Linked DNA regions of Arabidopsis thaliana. The protein of the gene in region 1 interacts with the protein of each later gene in a pairwise test. Each region holds a gene or a part of one and is shown on either strand. Other genes may lie near its edges. The genes, in order: ERD4, PAP3, IQD6 and AT5G49540.

What was found.
Region 2: the proteins of ERD4 (region 1) and PAP3 interact in a protein complementation assay, tested with the Arabidopsis thaliana proteins (one large-scale study listed by BioGRID).
Region 3: the proteins of ERD4 (region 1) and IQD6 interact in a protein complementation assay, tested with the Arabidopsis thaliana proteins (one large-scale study listed by BioGRID).
Region 4: the proteins of ERD4 (region 1) and AT5G49540 interact in a protein complementation assay, tested with the Arabidopsis thaliana proteins (one large-scale study listed by BioGRID).

Annotation. Positions count from the first base shown.
Region 1 is NC_003070.9:10,713,512-10,720,049, forward strand, and holds ERD4 (Early-responsive to dehydration stress protein (ERD4)), read left to right. Parts: upstream 1-1,970; 5' UTR 1,971-2,380; coding exon 2,381-2,651; intron 2,652-3,022; coding exon 3,023-3,180; intron 3,181-3,274; coding exon 3,275-3,550; intron 3,551-3,647; coding exon 3,648-4,477; intron 4,478-4,560; coding exon 4,561-4,816; intron 4,817-4,904; coding exon 4,905-5,288; 3' UTR 5,289-5,486; downstream 5,487-6,538. Other genes in the region: DLAH (alpha/beta-Hydrolases superfamily protein), read right to left, coding at 5,658-6,538. UniProt on the Arabidopsis thaliana protein: Acts as a hyperosmolarity-gated non-selective cation channel that permeates Ca(2+) ions. Mechanosensitive ion channel that converts mechanical stimuli into a flow of ions: activated in response to membrane stretch. Not activated in response to membrane poke.
Region 2 is NC_003070.9:5,056,453-5,061,966, reverse strand, and holds PAP3 (purple acid phosphatase 3), read right to left. Parts: upstream 3,385-5,514; 5' UTR 3,288-3,384; coding exon 3,000-3,287; exon of another isoform or gene 2,582-2,999; intron 2,495-2,581; coding exon 2,338-2,494; intron 2,242-2,337; coding exon 2,134-2,241; intron 2,038-2,133; coding exon 1,910-2,037; intron 1,607-1,909; coding exon 1,478-1,606; intron 1,384-1,477; coding exon 1,316-1,383; coding exon of another isoform or gene 1,312-1,315; exon of another isoform or gene 1,202-1,311; coding exon 979-1,201; 3' UTR 827-978; downstream 1-826.
Region 3 is NC_003071.7:11,142,263-11,146,791, forward strand, and holds IQD6 (IQ-domain 6), read right to left. Parts: upstream 2,842-4,529; 5' UTR 2,721-2,841; coding exon 2,655-2,720; intron 2,581-2,654; coding exon 2,353-2,580; intron 2,276-2,352; coding exon 2,048-2,275; intron 1,976-2,047; coding exon 1,862-1,975; intron 1,786-1,861; coding exon 1,171-1,785; 3' UTR 1,028-1,170; downstream 1-1,027. Other genes in the region: CYP711A1 (cytochrome P450, family 711, subfamily A, polypeptide 1), read left to right, coding at 1-408, 501-596, 679-1,008. UniProt on the Arabidopsis thaliana protein: May be involved in cooperative interactions with calmodulins or calmodulin-like proteins. Recruits calmodulin proteins to microtubules, thus being a potential scaffold in cellular signaling and trafficking.
Region 4 is NC_003076.8:20,103,683-20,108,505, forward strand, and holds AT5G49540 (Rab5-interacting family protein), read right to left. Parts: upstream 2,597-4,823; 5' UTR 2,303-2,596; intron 1,944-2,302; 5' UTR 1,928-1,943; coding exon 1,830-1,927; intron 1,732-1,829; coding exon 1,536-1,731; intron 1,426-1,535; coding exon 1,406-1,425; coding exon of another isoform or gene 1,396-1,405; exon of another isoform or gene 1,153-1,395; coding exon 1,122-1,152; 3' UTR 799-1,121; downstream 1-798. Other genes in the region: AT5G49530 (SIN-like family protein), read left to right, coding at 1-202, 293-413, 501-560; BLOS2 (biogenesis of lysosome organelles complex 1 subunit-like protein), read right to left, coding at 3,020-3,319, 3,391-3,474; AT5G49555 (FAD/NAD(P)-binding oxidoreductase family protein), read right to left, coding at 3,729-3,858, 3,941-4,007, 4,098-4,218, 4,312-4,391, 4,454-4,566, 4,670-4,785.

The DNA.
Region 1 (6,538 bases):
CATTTAATACCGTAAGTAGAAGAAACTAGATGAAGTGGTGGGTCTTTGTATGTGTACATGTCGACGTGAAAATAGAAGAGAAATAAATATCAGCAAAAGGGCTTTGGACCGGATCAATAGCCACCTAACCAAATCTGTGAACGGCGTTACTTTCAAATAACAAATACTAACAGAAATATCATTGTAGATAAGACTTTAGGGTCTTCGATCGACATATAATAAAGATAAGGTTTGGGACCCTTTCAAGCTTTTTTTCGGTGTCGGCAATGAAGTTTTACGTCGAGGTGGCATTAACAACTGGACAACGGCTTTTTGTTTTGTTTTGGGGTCTCTTTTGTCTTGTGAATAACAACTTTTATCACATTCGCATAAATTATATATAGATTTATGAATTTATTCTCCCAAATTAATGGTTTGTCTCAGTGGAAATCTACTGTTTTGTCCAGTGACTTGTGTTATCTATTTAATTCAGTTGGATGCCAAAAATAACATATATTTTCGATCTATCTATTGTGGATTTTACCCGATCGACATAAAAGGAATTAAGGACCGGTATTGGACCAATATTACATGACTGGTCATGCATGGAAACACACCAAACAAAACAATAAATTTTCTTTGTATAAAAAAAGAAAACCAATAATTTATTTATCTTCTGATTAAAATATGGCGAAGAGATATACACTAGTATTAAAATTTAAAACAATAGAATGAGGTAAAACATAAATACAGCATGTCGTGGACGTCTTTCGATTGTTTTTAGTTCTTTTTTTTTGGTTTTATATTTCAAAACTTGTTGAAACTGCATAAAAGTTTTTTTTTTGTGTGGATCCCCGTAATTTTTATTCTACACACGTACAAGACAATTTTTTCTTACGTAAACTATACAAACATATAAAGTGCATGTGACTGGTGAATGCTTATAATAAAATACAAATAAAATAATGTGTGATTGGTGGAATATTTAGAGTAAAAGAAGAATGAATATAGAGGAATATTGATATTGGAGGAAATAAAAATATGAATTAGAGTACCCAAATAACTGGTATTCCCTACAAGCAGTCAACAAAACTAAGGAAAAAAAAACCAAGGAAAAAAGAAGAAAAAATTGTTTTGTTTCTGTTGAGTGGACAAGTTATGAGATTAGAATTCAAATATCCGTTCAAGTTAAAGCATGGAATCACGAATGCTCCACATCTCAAAGAAGAAATTGAACTCTTTCTAATCTTAGAATTCAAAGAAACGTAGAGGAGTCTGATGAGATGTGGTTGGTTGCTATTACCTCTGATTGAATTTGATCACATACAAAATAACATTCGATCTTGATGTGTTTCGTAGGCTTTTGTGTAAAATCAGATGCATATATTTGTTTCAAGGGTCGTCTCCACTAGAGTAAAATGACGCATATCATCAAGAATGCTTTTCCACCACATTACTTACGACACAGTCAATATTCAACTTCGACATAAACGAACCTATTTCGCAAATTGTTTATGAGTTATTCAAATTATGTAAATTTAATATACTATCATATATTTTATAAAGATGTCTATTAAGTAAAAGGATGAAAACATATATTATTTGAAAAACCGGATTTCAGATGAAATTACTAGTTTAAATCAAAATATGCTTTGATTTATATAGTAATACAAGTATTTTTTTGAACTTAAATTGTTATATGATTGATATGTCACCATAACCGTAAATATTTGCGAAATAAAGGTAATTTCTTACCATATGTTTTTCCAAATATTAAGAGATACATTAAACATGTCATACTGATCAAAGATCTCTAAGTAGTAGTAAATAAGGTTTACGAGTACTTTTTTGAAACAAACCTAGAAAATAGAAGGGAATAGAAGAAACTTCAAAAGCACAAAAAGAGAAAAATCCAAAGAATAATTTATTATACAATAAAATAAAAACGTATAAAAAAGGGAACAAAATGGGTAAAGAGAGGAGGAGGAGGACCCTGAAGTAGGGTTAAAAAATCCATCTCCTTTGGTGTCTCTATCATCAACACCTGTCGGCCTTGTCACTTAAACACGCTCTTCACTCTCTTCTCACACACCTCTCCTTCTCCTTCTCCCACCATTTAATCAATTCCACAATATTCAATTTTTCCAGTCTCCTCCGTTACACAATTCCACAAAGAGATTAAACAAACAATAGAAAAATATCTTCCTTTCTTTTTCTGTGAATACACCAATAAAGTGACAAAAGAAAAAGCCTGTCTTCTCTCACCTGTAATTACCAGAAGACAATATAAACTGTTACTTTCCTTCTTTTGTTGTACCCCTTTAAAAACGGCTACTTTAGAGAACTTGAGAAGATTTAGAAAGAAACAGAGAGCTTGAGAGATTCCTCTGGCTAAACCCAGATGGAGTTTGGATCTTTTCTTGTGTCCTTAGGGACATCTTTTGTTATCTTCGTCATTCTCATGCTTCTCTTCACCTGGCTTTCTCGCAAATCTGGAAATGCTCCCATTTATTACCCGAATCGGATCCTTAAAGGGCTGGAGCCATGGGAAGGCACCTCCTTGACTCGAAACCCTTTTGCTTGGATGCGTGAAGCTTTGACTTCCTCTGAACAAGATGTCGTTAACTTATCCGGCGTCGATACTGCTGTCCACTTTGTCTTCTTGAGCACTGGTTCGATCTCAATCTCTCTCTGTTCATCTCTGTTCTCTGTTACTTTAGTGGTTCCAATTCAAGGGTTTGGTGGAATTCTGCTGATTTCTGTTGGTTTTGATTTGGGTTTGAGATTTAACCTAATAAAGTTTCGATCTTTAGAGACAATTGGGGGAAAAAACGTTTCAAAATGGAAACTTTTTTGTTTGTAAATTGCTGGCTCTGACTATTTTGTTTGCTATGTTATGTTATCTCTGTTTTACTTTTAGACATTGGTGATTGAAATTAGAATCAGTAGATAGAACTTTTTGAAGTCTATATATACGAGCCAGTGATTTTGGTGAAGGTAAAGTGTTTATGATGTCTTGAAAATTGGCTTTTGTTTGATGCAGTTCTGGGGATATTTGCTTGTTCCAGTCTTCTTCTCCTACCAACTCTACTGCCTCTAGCCGCTACAGACAACAACATAAAGAACACAAAGAATGCGACAGATACCACAAGCAAAGGAACTTTTAGCCAACTTGATAATCTATCAATGGCTAACATCACAGTAAGTAAACACAACAATAACTCCATTCTGCCTATTGATTCATTTTCAGTTTTTGATAGTCTAAAGCAAAATGTGTATCCTTTCATTTGAACAGAAAAAAAGTTCGAGGCTGTGGGCGTTCCTAGGAGCTGTTTACTGGATATCTTTGGTCACATATTTCTTCTTGTGGAAAGCTTATAAGCATGTCTCTTCATTGAGAGCTCAAGCTCTGATGTCTGCTGATGTAAAACCCGAGCAATTCGCTATTCTTGTTAGGGATATGCCTGCACCACCTGACGGGCAGACACAGAAAGAGTTTATTGATTCTTATTTCAGAGAAATATACCCTGAGACATTCTACAGATCGCTTGTCGCAACAGAAAACAGCAAGGTATCTACTTGTTCTGGCCTAAGAAAGTCATATGTTTTAAGGTTTTAGGCATCATAATGTTAATATGTTAACCTTTGCTCTTTGTTGTGTTGTATAGGTTAATAAAATATGGGAAAAATTGGAAGGTTACAAGAAGAAGCTTGCGCGAGCAGAAGCAATATTAGCAGCAACTAATAACCGTCCCACGAACAAAACCGGCTTCTGTGGGCTAGTCGGTAAACAAGTAGACAGCATTGAGTATTACACTGAGCTAATCAACGAGTCTGTAGCCAAACTGGAAACAGAGCAGAAAGCGGTTCTTGCTGAGAAGCAGCAAACCGCAGCAGTGGTTTTCTTCACAACCAGGGTTGCTGCTGCATCAGCAGCTCAGTCTCTGCACTGCCAGATGGTTGATAAATGGACTGTGACCGAAGCTCCTGAGCCACGGCAGCTCCTATGGCAGAATCTCAACATCAAGCTCTTCAGCAGAATAATCCGGCAATACTTCATCTACTTCTTTGTTGCAGTGACCATTCTGTTTTACATGATACCAATCGCGTTCGTCTCTGCCATCACCACTCTTAAGAATCTTCAGAGGATTATTCCGTTCATAAAGCCGGTTGTGGAGATAACCGCCATAAGAACCGTTTTGGAGTCTTTCCTTCCTCAGATTGCGCTCATTGTTTTCTTGGCCATGTTGCCGAAGCTTCTCTTGTTTCTCTCCAAAGCCGAGGGGATTCCTTCACAGAGCCATGCCATTAGGGCTGCTTCAGGGAAGTACTTTTACTTCTCGGTCTTTAATGTCTTCATTGGTGTTACCCTTGCTGGGACTTTGTTCAACACAGTGAAGGATATCGCGAAAAATCCCAAACTCGACATGATTATTAACCTTTTGGCTACTAGCCTCCCTAAGAGCGCAACTTTCTTCCTGACCTACGTTGCTCTCAAGTGAGATTTTGGTCTTCTTGACTTAAATAGCATATGTATTGTTCGTTTGTTCCCTAAATCTTATGTTGATGATTTTTTTTCAGGTTCTTTATCGGTTATGGCCTTGAGCTGTCTCGGATCATACCTTTGATAATCTTCCACCTGAAAAAGAAGTATCTCTGCAAAACCGAAGCGGAGGTCAAAGAAGCTTGGTACCCGGGAGACTTAAGCTATGCGACTAGGGTTCCCGGAGACATGCTCATCCTCACAATCACGTTCTGCTATTCAGTCATTGCTCCTCTTATCCTCATATTCGGCATCACCTACTTTGGTTTAGGCTGGCTAGTCCTCAGGAATCAGGTCAGACTTTCTCTCTATTTACTATACCCATAAACACTTAGGTTATCAAAAATGTGATCTTGAACTGTTTTATTTCGGGGTATGACAGGCGTTGAAAGTGTACGTTCCATCATACGAGAGCTATGGAAGAATGTGGCCGCATATTCACCAGCGCATACTAGCAGCGTTGTTTCTATTCCAAGTGGTAATGTTTGGCTACTTAGGAGCCAAGACATTCTTCTACACGGCCCTTGTGATCCCTCTCATTATCACCTCTCTCATCTTCGGATATGTGTGCCGCCAGAAATTCTACGGAGGGTTCGAACACACAGCTCTCGAGGTAGCTTGCCGTGAGCTGAAGCAGAGTCCAGACCTAGAGGAGATTTTCAGAGCATACATTCCGCATAGCTTGAGCTCTCACAAACCAGAAGAACACGAGTTCAAAGGCGCAATGTCTCGTTATCAAGATTTCAACGCAATAGCAGGCGTTTAAAATTTGAATCCAATCCCCAAATTATCTCATAGATTTGTTTTGCTGGTTTTTTAGAAGCTTTTATTGTTATGTGTGTGAATTTTAGGGTTTGTTTAGGATTCTTCTTTGTATGTGTTCCATGGTTGTTGTAACTTGTAACTTTGTAAGCTACTTTTAAACATCAACTTGATTTTTCATCATTAATATTCTTCTACTCTGATGTTCTGATTTCTTTAGCTGATGCAAATTGTATTTAAAGTAGTTTCAAACATATATACATTATTGTCACAGCTTGATCTATATTCATTGAACTGAAATGTTGTAACCAAAATTCACAAGGACTAAAGATTCAAGAAAACGAATGAATGGAATGGAAAATAAATTTATTTCTCATAAGCTATAAATAGGTTTTGGTCCGGTCGGTAACGGAGAGGGAATGTCTTCAGGTGCACGGACAGGCTTCACCCACCGGCCAGTCTGTTTGTTAAGGATCAGACCCTTATGTGCCACTTGGTACCAAAACTCAGGTATTCTTAGATGATCCAACAACATATCTGTGCTCTTGTTCACCGAAGCAACGTCTCTCCTAGCGTTAACCCTAAACCCAGATTTCTTGCGGTGGAAGCCATCCAAAACATGGAGATACACCTCTAGATTATGAGCCCTCCCTAAGTCTGAATCACGTTTTACGTAAGGCGAACTGAAGACATCGAGTTTAAGCTGCGTTCCGACATGCCTGTAGACCCAATTGAGCCTTGAAGTTATCGGATTAAGTTTGTTAAGTACCTTGTTGAACACGATACCAGGTAGCTTAGGTACAATGTCTTGCTTGTTCACCACACGTAACACCTTAACTCCTAAACTGTTTAGCTTTTCCTTGAATGCCAAGTTACCTACCCTCGGCGCACCAAACGAGATCACTGAAATGTTACCAGATAACGCTGGAACATCTCTAGCCGCCTCGTAAGCGTTCATAAGCGCCAGCGCACCTCCGAGGCTATGCCCGGTAATGGTTAGGCTTACCTCTTCGCCTCTATCCTTAAAAAAATTCACTAGCCGCTTCACTTCATCCATCGTCTGCTCAGATGCACTTTCTTTGTTGTACCGTGTGAGTTCGCTTTTCGAGTTGTAGATACTTAAAAACCCACTTTGCACCTTAACCACGGTCTTGCCATGTTTTCCTTCACAATCGAACGGCTCCATACTCGTCCTAAGATCCATGAACCATTCCGTGGGAGTCACCGTTCCACGCCACGCCACAACAATGTCTC
Region 2 (5,514 bases), 5.7 Mb from region 1:
TATATCCTTTCCTTTCTATTCAAATTCTATCTCTGCCTCGTTTCGACTGAATCATAATATCTTCTTACACATGCATATATATATATACCTTTGTTTTTCTCCAAAGTGTCTCAAGATTCTCAAGAAAGTTACTTTTTTTTTTTCTTCTTGGAATATTTTTTGGGATTCGAAAGCTAAGATATGAAGCCTTTATCTCTGTTGTGTGATACAAGTTCAGCTGTGTGTTCGGTCCCATGGTTCATGGCAGTGGCCCATGTCTTCATTCCTTTGTCCACTCTATTAAGTCTCACCAAAAGTAAAATAAGATAAGCCTTAATAGAATGACTATTATATTTCTTTTGGGAGATAATTTTGGTATGAGCAAAAGTGTTCTTGCGATCAAATATGAGAGATCCGGGGCTTGTGAAATTATGTGACAGAATCTCATCCACAACATAGAGTTGTATATCATTTATCTTATCATATAATCCATAATTCACTATAACTTATCTATATATATTACATGATTGAAGAGAATCTGAGCACAGGACAAAAGACATGTAACAAAATCATTATCTATCTTTATAGATGAGAATCGGACCCATTTTGTGTCCCTACAAACTACACAAGAGTACTGTATGCACGCATGCTTCGGGAAAACTTGTTAATCAAATTGGATAAGAATAACGAAAATTAATTAACTTAATTAATATGGAAGCGTAAGAGAGGATGATATTTACATTTTAATATGCTTAGATTCGATATGTATATACAGTATATGCATGCAGTATTTCTAGTTAATCTCACATCTTACAAATTTTCAATAATATCTTGTTTGAAACTGTACTTTTACGCAATAAAGATTTCATTGACTTTTTTTTCTGATGCTGCTGATATGTTCTTGTCATATCATAATGTGATTCGAAAATTCGACGAAGTACGATATTGATAATTTCATAGTACATCGATCATAAACAATTACGTCCGATTAAATTGGAATCAAGAAGCGAAATAAAGCGCCTCCTTGTAAGTCTTCTTCCAATGATGCAGAACGTGTCCAAAAACATCATAAAAGACTACACGCAGTTCAGCTTCTGAAACGTGAACCGACATGAAACCTTGTCCGTCGTAGTAAAACCTCATCTCTTCTGGTTCAACGTAGTTCACGTCACCTCCTTTCCAGGCCTTGGATCCACCTCCACTTGTCATAAATTGTATGTTACTATATGCAACCAAAAATGGTGACATTTTATATCCTCCCGTACGTGGACCCTTACGTTACAATAATTGATTAATAAGAAAATAATTAACGAACAAATAAATAAATTTATTCTACCTGTCCACGCTGCTTATGTGCTCTAAGCAATGATCATGTCCGTTTACGTAGAGATCCACTTCATTTGCCTAGTAAATCGAGAACAAAAAAAACAGATTTAATTAGATAGATTTTTTCTATTGGTGCATAAACTTTATTATATGAATGGAATGGTTTTGTTACTTGGAGAATAGGTAAAAGGTGTTTCTCCAACTCAATGGTGTTCCCGTGGTGGCCTGCGCTTTTGATCGTATGGTGACCAATCACTATTTTCCACTTTGCGACTGACTCTCTCAACGCCACGTCGAGTTCCTATATTATTACATTATAGCTTTCGTTAGTCACTCGCTCGTAAAAAGAAAAAAAGTTGCATTGGCAGATTGTTCTCTAATCATATCGCATTACATACCTAATTAAAACGCGATTCCATTTGAAAATAGACAAAATAAAAGCTGCGTTTAACATCCAATCATAACTTTATAAAAAAATCCAATCATAACAAAAGAAAAAGGAATGTTTTGCCCAAAACACGTATATAATGACGTTCCTAAGTTAATATTAATTCTATTTCGACGAAAAAAGAAAGAAAGGAAGATTTACTTAAAAAATTGTTACCTTTAAGAGATTATTCAGATATGTTTGCCTAGGTAATACACCGCTCCAGTCATAAACATGCTTATTTGGTTGAATAAAGTATTTATCGACGAACGGAGTTGTGTCGACGAAGAACAAATCGACGATCTCTGTTCAGTTAACGAAATTAACAAAAATAAAAAAATAATTGGAGGATTAATAAAATATTTCTAACTTTTGAAGAAATATTATATAGGAGGAATTACCAGCATTTACAATGAAAGATCTCATGCAAACCCATCTGTTGTCCAGAGCTCTGAGCATAGGGCTAAGTTGTGCCCTGACGTCACCTCTATAATCATGATTTCCTAAAACTTTAGGTTAAAGAAAATGTAATTAACACATTGAACCACATATCGTTTAATAATTAAGATCCAACGACGAATGTACACATTGAACCACACATTTACCACTATACCAAGGTTTCTGCAAGCTCGGAGCGGTATAAATGTTGGTAAAAGAATCTTGAAATAGAGGATCGTGCAAGCTGGTTAAACCATTGTCGTAAAAATTATCTCCAGTAGAAATCACAAAATCGATATCTAATTTCTCTCCGATTTCTCCCATCTGTTTAAATTTCGTGTGAAATAATTTAGCATAAAATAACTAAAAACAACAGTATAAAAGAAAACATCAAACTAGCATAAAATTTACCACATTGAGTTCATCTGCAAAACAACAGTACAAACAAAAATCATATGTAGAATATCTTCGTACACTAAAGCTGTTTTCTTAACACAGACCGAATCTTTCAAGTTCCTCTAACATGACTTTCTTTCTTTTTATGGTATCTTATAACATGGTGTTCAAGAATTAGTAATATATATTGAAATTGAATAATAATAATAAAAAAAAGAAAAAAAAAGAATAATATAAAAACATAAGGGCCGGCATTAATATGAAGACCAGTAAATTTGATCCTCATATCACGTATGCTCTTGAAGGCATACGCATATATATGTTTACGTAATACGTATTAATTATACACTATTGAATTTGCATTATATATTTATATATATGCGTACAGGCGAGAAATATAGTAAATAACTTGTAAATGAAAATAAGAAGTAACCTGAAGAGCTACTTGGGACTGATTATAGGAGCCTCTTCTTCCCCAGTCTCCGATAACGAGAAAGCTCACTGTACCATCGGTTTTTGATGGCTGCAGTAGCCTGCGGAGCTCCGCCGTGGAACTATGGGAGGAGAATATAATAATCAAATTATAAACGTAAAATACCAAATTTACAGGTTTGTGTTTTAAGGTAGCCATTGAGAGATTAGAAAAGCAAAAGAGGAAGAAGATAAGGAAAGGAATGGTTGATTTTGTTGTGATCTTTGTGTCTCTATATATGTAGGTCATTTCGAGGTTGATAAATATGAATAAAAATTATTTGCCATTTTGAGAAATGTAGTCCATTTTTGTTTTCTATTTCAATCTTTTGATTTGTCAATTTTATTACAATAATTTGAATCGGTAATTTTTTTGTCACCCACTTTTTCAGATATTTATCAATAACGAAATATAATGACAAGATAAATTTAAATAAAATAAATAGCGGTTGAAAATTAGCTGTTGAAATATTTTAAACATAAAGAAATTGGATATTGACAGTTTAAGGATATTTGAAAATTTCTATTATCAGTGAAAATATACGTAAATTTCTACTACATTTTTATTTCTAACATTATACATAAACATATTATCTAAATTTGGATTATGACACATCAAACAACAGTATGCATACAAACTATTATTACACCGTGAATTCTGATCACACAAATTCTTTCTAAAATCGCATTTTAAAAACAAAATATACTTGAAAAAAATAGAAATAAAATTTACGAAGCTCGGGTATGTGCGTTGTCATACAAGAAGAGTAGAAGACAGCATAAACGCCCATGCCACAAATTTGTCGGAAATTGCAATTATTAGCTTTGAGTCACATTATTGATGTGAGTCTAACGAAAACTTCCAAATTCTCTCAATTATTGTTGACCGTTAGTTATTTTACAGTATAGTTCTGAACATAAAATAATGTGAATAGTTTACTAAATTCGTTCAACATATTAAAGAAAAATCAAAATCCCATTTATACAAAAATTTGAAAGTATATCCTTACTGGATATGAGAAAATAAATGCAAATGGGTTGGCCTATGTTATTGGGCCGATACCCATTTCTCTAATGAAAAGAAAGATCTATAAAAACAAACTTCTGCTTCTCGACTAGGACATTAATTCTGAGGTATGACTATGAAGGTATCATATTATTTTGTAATTCTTGGCCAAAACTTGTCACCTGTGTGTTTGTATGTTCTTACAAAAGAGAAAACTAATGAGCATTAACTTCTGCAACGTTTATTTTACATGTTTGGTCTTATTGCTGATTCAGTCTAGTTCGTCGAGTATTTTGAAAACAACTTGAGGAGTTAATCAAAAGAAACAAGCTTAATGTGGTATATATGTTCCTTACGACTATAGTTCCTATTAGTATGATGTAGTCAGCAAGATTGACTTATGATGACTATAGAAACTTCACTGAATATCTCTGGTGGTCCTAGACAGTCACAGTGTCCTACTGTATCTTTAGTTTGGTTCGCCAAGTCTAGTATCGGACCGTATAGATAGAGAGATGTCAATTGTGTTTATGTGTTTTTTTTTTCTCTCTGAAGCAAATTGATTGATCGATTTGTCAGCAATTCCTTTCGAGTCAAAAGTTTTGACCAACCAGCTTCTTCGTGAAACTCTCTAGCTGTATTCACACATACACACACACACCTAACAAAATTATTGAAACAGTGGGTTTGATGTAAAGCCTAAATCATTCAACCACCTCTCTCTATTTCTTTTTTGTTCTTTTTTTCTATGCAACATATGATTATATATTAGATCCATGTGATATTGCTTGAGTCTTTAATTTAAGGCTTTATAAATAGAACAAATATAGGCCTTTTTAGGTCAACACGTGTGTGTGGAAATGATGCTAATGCTTCCAAAATGAAACAGAATAATGTCGTCATGAGCTACTCATTTACAAGAGGATTGTTTTAGTGTTGGATTGGCTAATAGACTTGGATCGATATCTATAATATAGACCATATATATAATATGTTTAGCCTAAACAATGATATATATGTCATGTGACACTTATGTGTTTTAGCAATCACTAAAATAATGCAAACATTAATACATGTAGGTGAGTTGTGAGTTCAAATAATATTAGTCAATACTCAATAGTCACTGTAATTGATATTTTGAATGGCTTATCCTATGAAAATTTAGTACTTTCATAGAGAGAAAAAAAAAACAAATGTTAATCTAAAGACGACAATTTAGATTTTAGCAGTCGCACCAGAACTAGTACCAGGAAACATAAGATAATATATACAGGACTAGCTACTTCATTATCTTTACGTAGTTTATGACAAAGATTGTTGTATAATCTTCATCAGCTGACTTCTTTATTTATGAATGAAGTGGTTAGAACTCAACTTGTCGGCTAATAATTCAAGCAACCCAACACAATGTTTGGGATTATCCTGTTTCTGTCTTCTTCTAAACTTTCTAAAGTAAGGCTGCTTGTTCTGT
Region 3 (4,529 bases), on another chromosome or scaffold:
CTTCAAGAGCCGTTTAGGCAGGTGTTGAAGAGGATACCGGGAACAATGGACTGGAGAGTCGAGAAGACTAATGCAAGACTGAGTGGACAACTTAATGAGATTGTGTCAAAGCGAGCCAAGGAGGCTGAGACTGACTCAAAAGACTTCTTGTCATTGATTTTGAAAGCTCGAGAGTCCGATCCTTTCGCCAAAAACATCTTCACATCGGATTATATTAGTGCTGTGACTTATGAGCATCTTCTTGCTGGCTCTGCAACCACTGCTTTCACACTATCCTCTGTTCTTTACTTAGTCTCTGGTCATCTTGATGTTGAGAAACGTCTGCTTCAAGAAATTGACGGGTTTGGGAACCGTGATCTGATCCCGACTGCTCATGACTTACAACACAAGTTTCCATACCTCGATCAGGTGCTTCATTAGTAACAAACAAAAACCGAGAAGTTGAGTTTCTGTGAGAGATTAGAATCTTTATGAATGTTTTTTATTTGCCTCCTTTGTAGGTCATTAAAGAGGCTATGAGATTCTACATGGTTTCTCCTTTGGTTGCAAGGGAAACTGCTAAAGAAGTGGAGATAGGAGGTTATTTACTCCCAAAGGTATATTCAAACCCATCAAGCGGATTAGTCCATTTACAGTCAGCACTTGTAATCTATTACTTACCTTGTGGTTGTTGCTTAGGGGACATGGGTTTGGTTAGCACTAGGAGTTCTAGCAAAGGACCCTAAAAACTTTCCAGAACCGGAGAAGTTCAAGCCGGAAAGATTTGATCCGAACGGAGAAGAGGAGAAACATAGACATCCATACGCTTTCATCCCATTCGGTATCGGTCCACGAGCCTGTGTTGGACAGAGATTTGCCCTGCAAGAGATCAAACTCACATTACTGCATCTCTACCGTAATTACATTTTCAGACATTCCCTAGAAATGGAGATACCACTGCAGCTTGATTATGGTATAATTCTCAGCTTCAAGAACGGGGTTAAGCTCAGAACCATCAAAAGATTCTGATTCTTGAAACAAGTGAAATAAAAGCAAGACTGAAATTTATATTTAAATTCAAAACTCCAATGTAGTTCCAAAGGAAAAAGAACAATTAACAACATACACAGATATCTCACAACACACAAGACAACAACAAGCTGTTGAAACTCCAATCTAACAAGGTCACATTTAACCTCTCGGCTTCTCGAATCGAGTAGGAACACCGAGTGGTTTGGAGAAACTAACAAAAGGATCTGAGGAAGGACTAGTCTTCAATTCCCCTGTAAACATTCCAGAGTTCTTCATAAACTGAAACTCATCCATAGATTGCCTGAGACCGCGGTTAGTTCTTCGCTTAGCCTTTGTCGATTCAGTCAAGCTCATGTAACTTGGCTTGTGCTTTTTTGCTTGACTGCTAGAGTTATCTGAAACAAGTCCAGTTTTTCCAGAAACAGGCGTAGTTGAAGTACAAATCGAGGATGAACCTGAGCTCTCGTTAAACTCATAACCAGGACTTGAAGACAGCATATGAGGAGGAGGTTTTGCAGATACTCTAGTGGTCACATTGTTTCTTCTAACTTGAACAACATCCGCAGTTTCCGGTGATTTCAAATGTTTATGAGGCAGAGGAGGAGGCGTGGCAGCGGTATCAACAGTGTCCATAAGTCTAGTCTCCCATGGCCTAGCAGCCATCCAACGCTCCAACCAACTCCATCCCCAACTATTCTTATCAAACTCTTGACTTTTAAGATACGAAATCGAACTATTCGTCTTAAGGTTTGAGCTAGTAGTTGACCTCCATTGCTACACAAAACAAGATTCCCGATTCAGCTTCAGACACGAACTTAAACAAGATGTTGAATGTGGACAAGTTAGTTACCTTTTGAGCAAGAGCATAAGCCAAAGCACGTTCCCTCTTAAAAGCACCTTCTTGTCTCTGCTGCAACTTTGACTTAATATCATCCACAGTACCTTTCCTATCACACCACCCTTCCTGAGAACATAACAAATCTCAAAACAATAAACAATCATCAAACCAATGAGCTAAAAAGGTAAAGACAAGAACCTCGACTTCTTTCAAGAGATCAGATTTGGTTCTATGTTCATCTAAAAGCTTTTGAACAGCTTGTCCTTCAACAGTCATCCTCACACGACGAGCTCTAACACGAGCTTGTACTCTCACCAAAGCTTGCATGCATCTCAATGTAACAGCTGCTTGTTTCCTAACTTGTCTTCCTCTCACTAAAGCTTGTAACCTCACTATCCCTTTCAATGCCCTCAACGCTCTTCTCGCCTAATTAACAACAAATCCTCAAATTAAACTAAGTTCTATTCCTCTCAATTCTAATCAAAACCAATTAGCAAACTCACCAAGAATCCACGAAAAGCGGTTTGGATTCTAATAGCAGCCCATTCTTCTCTAACAGCTTTGAAATCTTTAGGAGGAGCTCTAAGAACAGTAGCAACAGCAGCAGAGTAAACAGTAGAAGAATCAACACCGTCTGAATCAGACCGATGTTTTCCTCGAAAACCCTTCCATGAATCTACTGAAGTAGTCCTCCATAGCTTCCATTTCTTGTTTTTCCCATTACCCTTTTCCTGAAAACAGAGTATCTCTCGATAAAGCTTTAACCTTTGAACGAGAGAACAAAAAAAAAAGATAATGAACTTACGATTTCATCCTTCTCTAGCTTCTTGAGACCGATAATGGACTTGACCCATTTCCCTGAAGCACCCATAGATTAAAAAGTTTCGATCTTTTTGGCTCGAATTCGTAGATTATTTTTTTCTTCAGGTATGTAGAAAGTTTGAGAGTGAGAGATTGATAGAGAGAGAGAGAATATCGGAGAATGTGAAGTTGTGGTGGTAATGGAGGGAGTGGTGGGTTAAAGAGAAGTTTTTGAAATTTGAACAAATCAAAGCAAAGCAACAAACAAAATATTAATAAAAAGTTTGCTCGAGTCTTTAGGCTTTTGTCTCTGATTGTGTTTTCACACTTATTTATTACTTACACAAACAAATGTGTCTGTGTCCTTCTCAGAGTTACAGGCATGAAAAAAGAAACCATGAAAAGGTACAATAAATTAATAAATATATATATATATGTATGTTAGGCTTTTTGTTGTTTTTTACTTTTTACAGTGACTCACTCATGTTCATGTAATACCTTGTTTTGTTTTATTATTCTTATATCATTGGATTCGAAATTTAAACTTCCCAAAATGTTGCAAATCAGATTTACGAAATACATTCTCTTTCGAAAAGCAATGTTTAGCTTTTGGATTTTGTGATTTGGACTGGTTAGACCTATCACTTGTCTAATAACCTCTATAACAGAACTTATTATCTTATATAATTATGACAAGGTTTTCTTTCTAAGACCATACACATTGGTCTTATGACTCAACAGTCAACACCCTATTTAACTCTCCACAAAACAGCGTTATAGCAATTTAAACTTTACAACTCTATTGCAAATTATAATAAATTATGCTCTCATAAAAAAACTAAATTCACGAGTGATTGATACAAAAAAACAACAACTGAAACGACAAAAGAACAACCTAAATTCACGAGTTAAAGAATCGAAAAAAATGCCCATGTATCTCCCAAATTTAGTTTTCAATATATATACTATTTTTTCTCGCTCATATTTAGTTTGAGTGAATCTTGTACATGAATCTATTTGTCTAGCAACTTTAAGATTAATTAGACATAATAAAAAAAAAAGATTAATCAGACAGAGAAAAAAGATGAACTCTGTAAAGATTGGGTCCTTAGCTATACAATGAAAATGAGATATATACAATTAATTCTAATTGATGATAACTTCTTAAAATAATAAAACAAAAATTACATGAAAACATGTACCACCGAAAACATGCACCATCACACTTGGGATTGAGTCCCGCTCGATACAAATGTAGGGATTTGGCTAATGGGCCGGACAATTGTGGCCCAATGTTGAAAAAAAACTACATGAAATACACAATGAAAGGAAAAAAATTCGATCCAAGAGTTGTTTGTCTGGCTAATGGGCCGGCCAATTGTGGCCCAATGTTGAAGAAAAAACTACATTAAACATACAATGAAAGTAAAAAAAATCGAGTCAAGAGTTGTTTCTGATATGATGTACATTAGCGATTAATGTGCTAACTCACAAATCAACCAGAATGGTGGTGGCATAGCTCTTAAAGAGGAAATGAGATAGAAACAATATGTTACAAACTAAAAATAAATCAAAATCATAGAGTATTACAACACACAAATAAATAAATTGGAAACAGACTCTACATGAAACCCATGAAATGAATTAGAAGAGAGAACACAAAAATATTGTATTAAATAAAATCTTTTGCCATTTTTCAATTGAGGATCATAATACATTGACGATGAAATCCAGAGATTGAATTCCTGATACCAAAAAAAAAAAGCAAATCAAAACCAACTATTGTTTTTTAACACAATTTAATCCACCTCATTTTCATCATCATTTGCAATATCCTATTAAATCAATTCAACACTCTCTATTGTAAATAATTTTAGAT
Region 4 (4,823 bases), on another chromosome or scaffold:
CGATCTGCCAAGGACTTAGGGATCTTGCAGTTTCGACATCGAATAATCCAAAAGCTGATTCAGGAATGGCGGTGAATGTGGCGCTAGCCGTGGATGCTTACCAGGGCGAGCTCGAAGACGTTATAAATGGAGTGGCTACTAACATTCACGGGTCTTATGTCTCCATATCGTCTCCAGACCATCCTGAATATGATTCTTTGAGGTTATTTTTTGTTGGAACATGATCACATTGGTTCTTTATTTCGGTTGAATCTCTAATTTCTCTGATTTTTTTTTTTGTTTTTATCATCAGGGAAGTGGTCATTAGCCTCTTAACCGGATCTCCACCTGGAACAAAGCTTATGAAGGCTGAGGTATTTGCAGCAGGCAGGACCAAACTTGAACGTGAAATCACCAACAACGAATATATAAAGGTCTTCACTTGAGCTCTCTTTGACTTTTTTTTTGTGTTTCGACCAAAGCGTAGTTTTAGTCTCTAAACTCTGTGTGTTGTGTGACAGGTGATGCACGAGATCTGTGAAACCAACTCTTCAGGATGGGTTTTACAGAAAGCTCGATGATGAGTTTATTAAATCATCATGACTAGATTTTAATGGTCTATAAATTTTGATATGAGTAAACGGTTCAGTAGTTATGAGATATTCATATTTTGTTTTTCCTTTTTGAAATCAAACAACCTTTTTTCTATTACTCAACTAGAGTTGGTAAGACAAGCCACACCAACACAGGAAAATAAACATAAGAAGCAACAAAAGAACTATACAATACACATAGACGGCTAAGTTCAAACTTGACAGAGAGTGTTCTAATGTTCTCTATTGAAATCTTAAGCATATTCGAATATATTTTACATGCAAGAATGTAAAAAAAAAAGAAAACAACAATGTGAACACATGAAATTGGAAGAAAGTGTAAATACTTGAAACTTTTCAATCTAAAGGTTTTCACAGTTTGATGTGATCTCAAATAACAAAAAAAGGTAATACGAACTCATAAACTGTTGTTCAAAAAGGGAACAAGAGAAACATTGTCAATCTAATTCAGTTTAGATGAAGAGGCTGCAAAACCCGAACTCAATCTTGTGTGCCGTTTCACCATCCTCATCTGGAGCAGAAGTTCCCTCAGAATATGTGCACCAAGTCATACGCAAATCTACTCCATTGTTAAGGAAACCTACTGAGACAAACAGAGAATAGAGAGAGCTGTTTTCGAGTTGCGCATATACTTGATTCTACACGAAGTAAACAAAAAGGCCATTTCTATGTTAATCACAGGTTCTTAAGAAGCTAATCATTTTTACCTACACCATACCATAGATGTTTTTCCATAAAGCTAATCAACCTTTGATTTAGTTTTGCACATTATCATAAAATGAGTATGACCACCAAATTGAGTTTAAGGATACGTCCAGAACAGCACAAACGACTGCGAAAAAGAAAACAACACCGCGATTAGTATGAGATTAACAGGTTGGATCAACAACATGTATCTTGAAGCAACAAACAATGTAATAAGAAAAGGAAATGAAGATATACCATAAGGCCACCAAGAAAACCGTCAAAAAGAACCCGATTCCACGAATCAAAGTACAAGTCAGCTGAGAATCCTGCCTTAGCCATGAGCCCAACAGATGTGATCAACATCACCACAAAGTAAAATACAAAACCAATCAAGCCATTGAATCCAATTATTCCTGCTAAGACACCAGCTATGATAGACAGAAACGTCCGGCTGCAAACACGAACAAAATGAGGGATAACAAGTCAAAAAACCCGAGAACCATCATCTTTTTAAGAAAACGAAAGAGAGAGAATTGTATTGAATCAGACCTGTTTTGAATGACTTTCAAATTGTTCTGCAAATTCTCTGCACTGAAAGTTGGTATGTCACTCATGATATCCTTTGATCTCTTCTCAGATGAACCCATTTAAGATAACAACAATCTGAAACAACATAAATTTCAAATCTTTGTATTGGATTTTACATTACAGTAACAAAAAAGGAAGAACTTGGACATCATAGAGTAAGTGTATAGATTACAAACCCAAAAAAGTATTGATTTTAAGCAAATTTCCACAGGAAAATTAGGGGTTTCTAATTGATTCAATGATTCTATAACTGGGTTTCGCTATCTAAGCATCACAATAAATTTCGATTCCTAAAGGTTAAGACTTTATGATTATCTCTTAAGTAGTCGAGAGTGGGAGCAACTATGATTAATCGATCTGGTTTTATCGATCTCTTCCGATCTACTACTTTGAGATCTACACAAACTTTGGAAAAGGAATTGATATAGACTTACAATTAGAAACGAGAGTAGTAAGAGGAAGATCGAAGTAGCTTGCTTTGGTACTTGGGATGAATTGAATGGAGAGGATGAGCCAATTTGAGAGAGAACAATCAGACGAATATCTTTAAGTTCTTTAGAGTGTTTTTAGACAAAAGAAAAACACAGAGAAAACAAGTAATATATAAACCGTAAAATCGAACCGGAACCAAACCTTAAACCGGATTGTCCACTACTAATCAAAATTAACAACACTCTCCAACTATGCTAGTTAAATTTCTTGATATTGAAACGGATAACATGATTATACATCACAATTTGTGATTATGAAAATTCGTTACTTACTACTAAAGATGAGCAGTTCAGTTTGTTCCAAGTTTTGGTTTTATAAAACCATCGCTATTACATTCAAACTGAAATTAATTCGGTTTGGTTTTGTTTGCTTAGGAGGTTTTAATATGTTTAACAAAACACTTAACCAATGCATTAGTAAGTACGGTAAATGGTTATATATGGAGTAGCGGTAAAAAAAAAACTTAGGTGCTTTTCGTTTGGTTTGGTTCCAGATTGATTTATGCAAATTTCAGTTTTGGTTAAACTTAAACCGAATGTAGACAAAATCATTCGTCGTATTCGTATCTAGCTTCAATATCAACTAAAACCAAAATAGCATTCCAGATCTCGATTCCAACAATCTCAGTAATGATAAAAATTAATTATTGCTACAATGCATCAGTCTGTAACAACAGAATCATTAGAGCGACGCTGATGATGAGGATGACGATACTCAGCTCGGATTTTAGATTCTAGGACAGAGACATATCGATCTAGAACAGAGATCACAGCTTCAAACTCCGACACTTGTTTCTCGATAGCATCCATTTGTCCTACAAATTCATCCAAGCCACCACTTTTTGATTTCATCTGTTCTGCGAAAACTCTGAGCCCAGCTGCCACGTCACCCATATCATCGTACTCTGACGCAACTCTCAGGTTCATCTTCTCCAATAGATCTAGATGGTTGTTCGTTCCCTATTTTTATCCAATTCAATTTCAGATCTGTGGAAACAAATAAATCTGTAAAATTTCGGATTGATTTTCACCTGGAGCTCGGATTTGACCATAGATGAAACACTCGTGAATAGATTTTGTAGCGATTCAGCTAGATCATCTCGTGAATCCGCCATTGATGAGGATATTTACTTCTTTTCGCAAAGACAAAGACAAAGACAAATAAACAATGGCTCTTCTGTTGTTTAGGGCACTTTCCATATTTGTTGAATTAGTGATATTTAGGTTAAGCTACACGTGGAGGCTTATTATTCGTTGATATCAACTATTGTCCATGTCTGTAAGCCTCTCCCTACGACAGAGGTTTTCAGAGCAGTAACAAACAACTTACACATGAGAGTTAACATTGCACAGTCTGAGATTATACTCGCTAGATTCTTTTCAAGTCTTGAAGAACAACATGTGCAGCGTTTCTTCCAGGTGCACCCATAACTCCGCCTCCAGGATGAGCTCCGCTGCCACACAAGTAGAGACCTTTCAAAGGGCTTCTGTAATTTGACCTGTTTCACACAGTCCAACAAAGTTTTGAATTTCATAATCATAAATCGTAAAGACTGTTTTGAGTACTTCGGAGTCACGTACCATCCTTTCACAGGGCGCATCAGGAAGAGAGAGTCTAATCCCATGGCACCGTGAAAGATGTTTCCGCCTGCAGAATACAAATGGGCAGTCATGTCAATATGGTTTGGCCATGTCGCATGTACTTGGGATCTTTCTCCAAGTACTTCACTTTATATACCTGTTAGACCAATTTCCCGTTCCAGGTCCGGAGGAGTCAACATGTCGTAGCTAATGATGGATGAGCTAAACCCGGGTGCATATTCATCAATCAGTTTGAAACACCTTTGTGCAAAGGCTTCCTGATTTTTACACAAGCAAAAGCAAATCCAGATGGGTTTGGCATGTCTTGTAGTGTAAAGGAATGTTTAGCCAAGCGTGTATAACAAACTAACTCGGTAAGTAGGATCTTCCCAGCTTCCATCTGAGGGCTTGTAAGGAGTGTACTGGATGAACAAGTTGATTACATGCTTCCCTACATACAAAATCACATTCAGAGTTCAAATCCTAAACAAGCAAAAGGGGGAGAATGTGTACCTGGGGGAGAAATGGTGTTGTCTAGTGTGGATGGAATAGTCATTTCGATCACTGGTCTTCTCGATGGTAAGCCATTTTCAGAATCATGACATGCTGAGTGAACCTCGTCCATGCTGACAGAGAGAAGATAGAACAGAGCCATTGATCACTTTTATTTGTATTATTATTTGTTCTTCGAGATACATATAATGAGGAACAAATTAGCACGAATGATACCTCTCTGCACCAATGTGTATAGTGCCAAAATGCTCTGGACCTGGACCTGAATGATTTGTGTTGCAGCACTGGAACTGTGGTAACTTGTCAACAGCCAAGTTTATTTTGGTAGTTGCCTGTTCACAACAATTAAACAACAAATCACCAGATAATT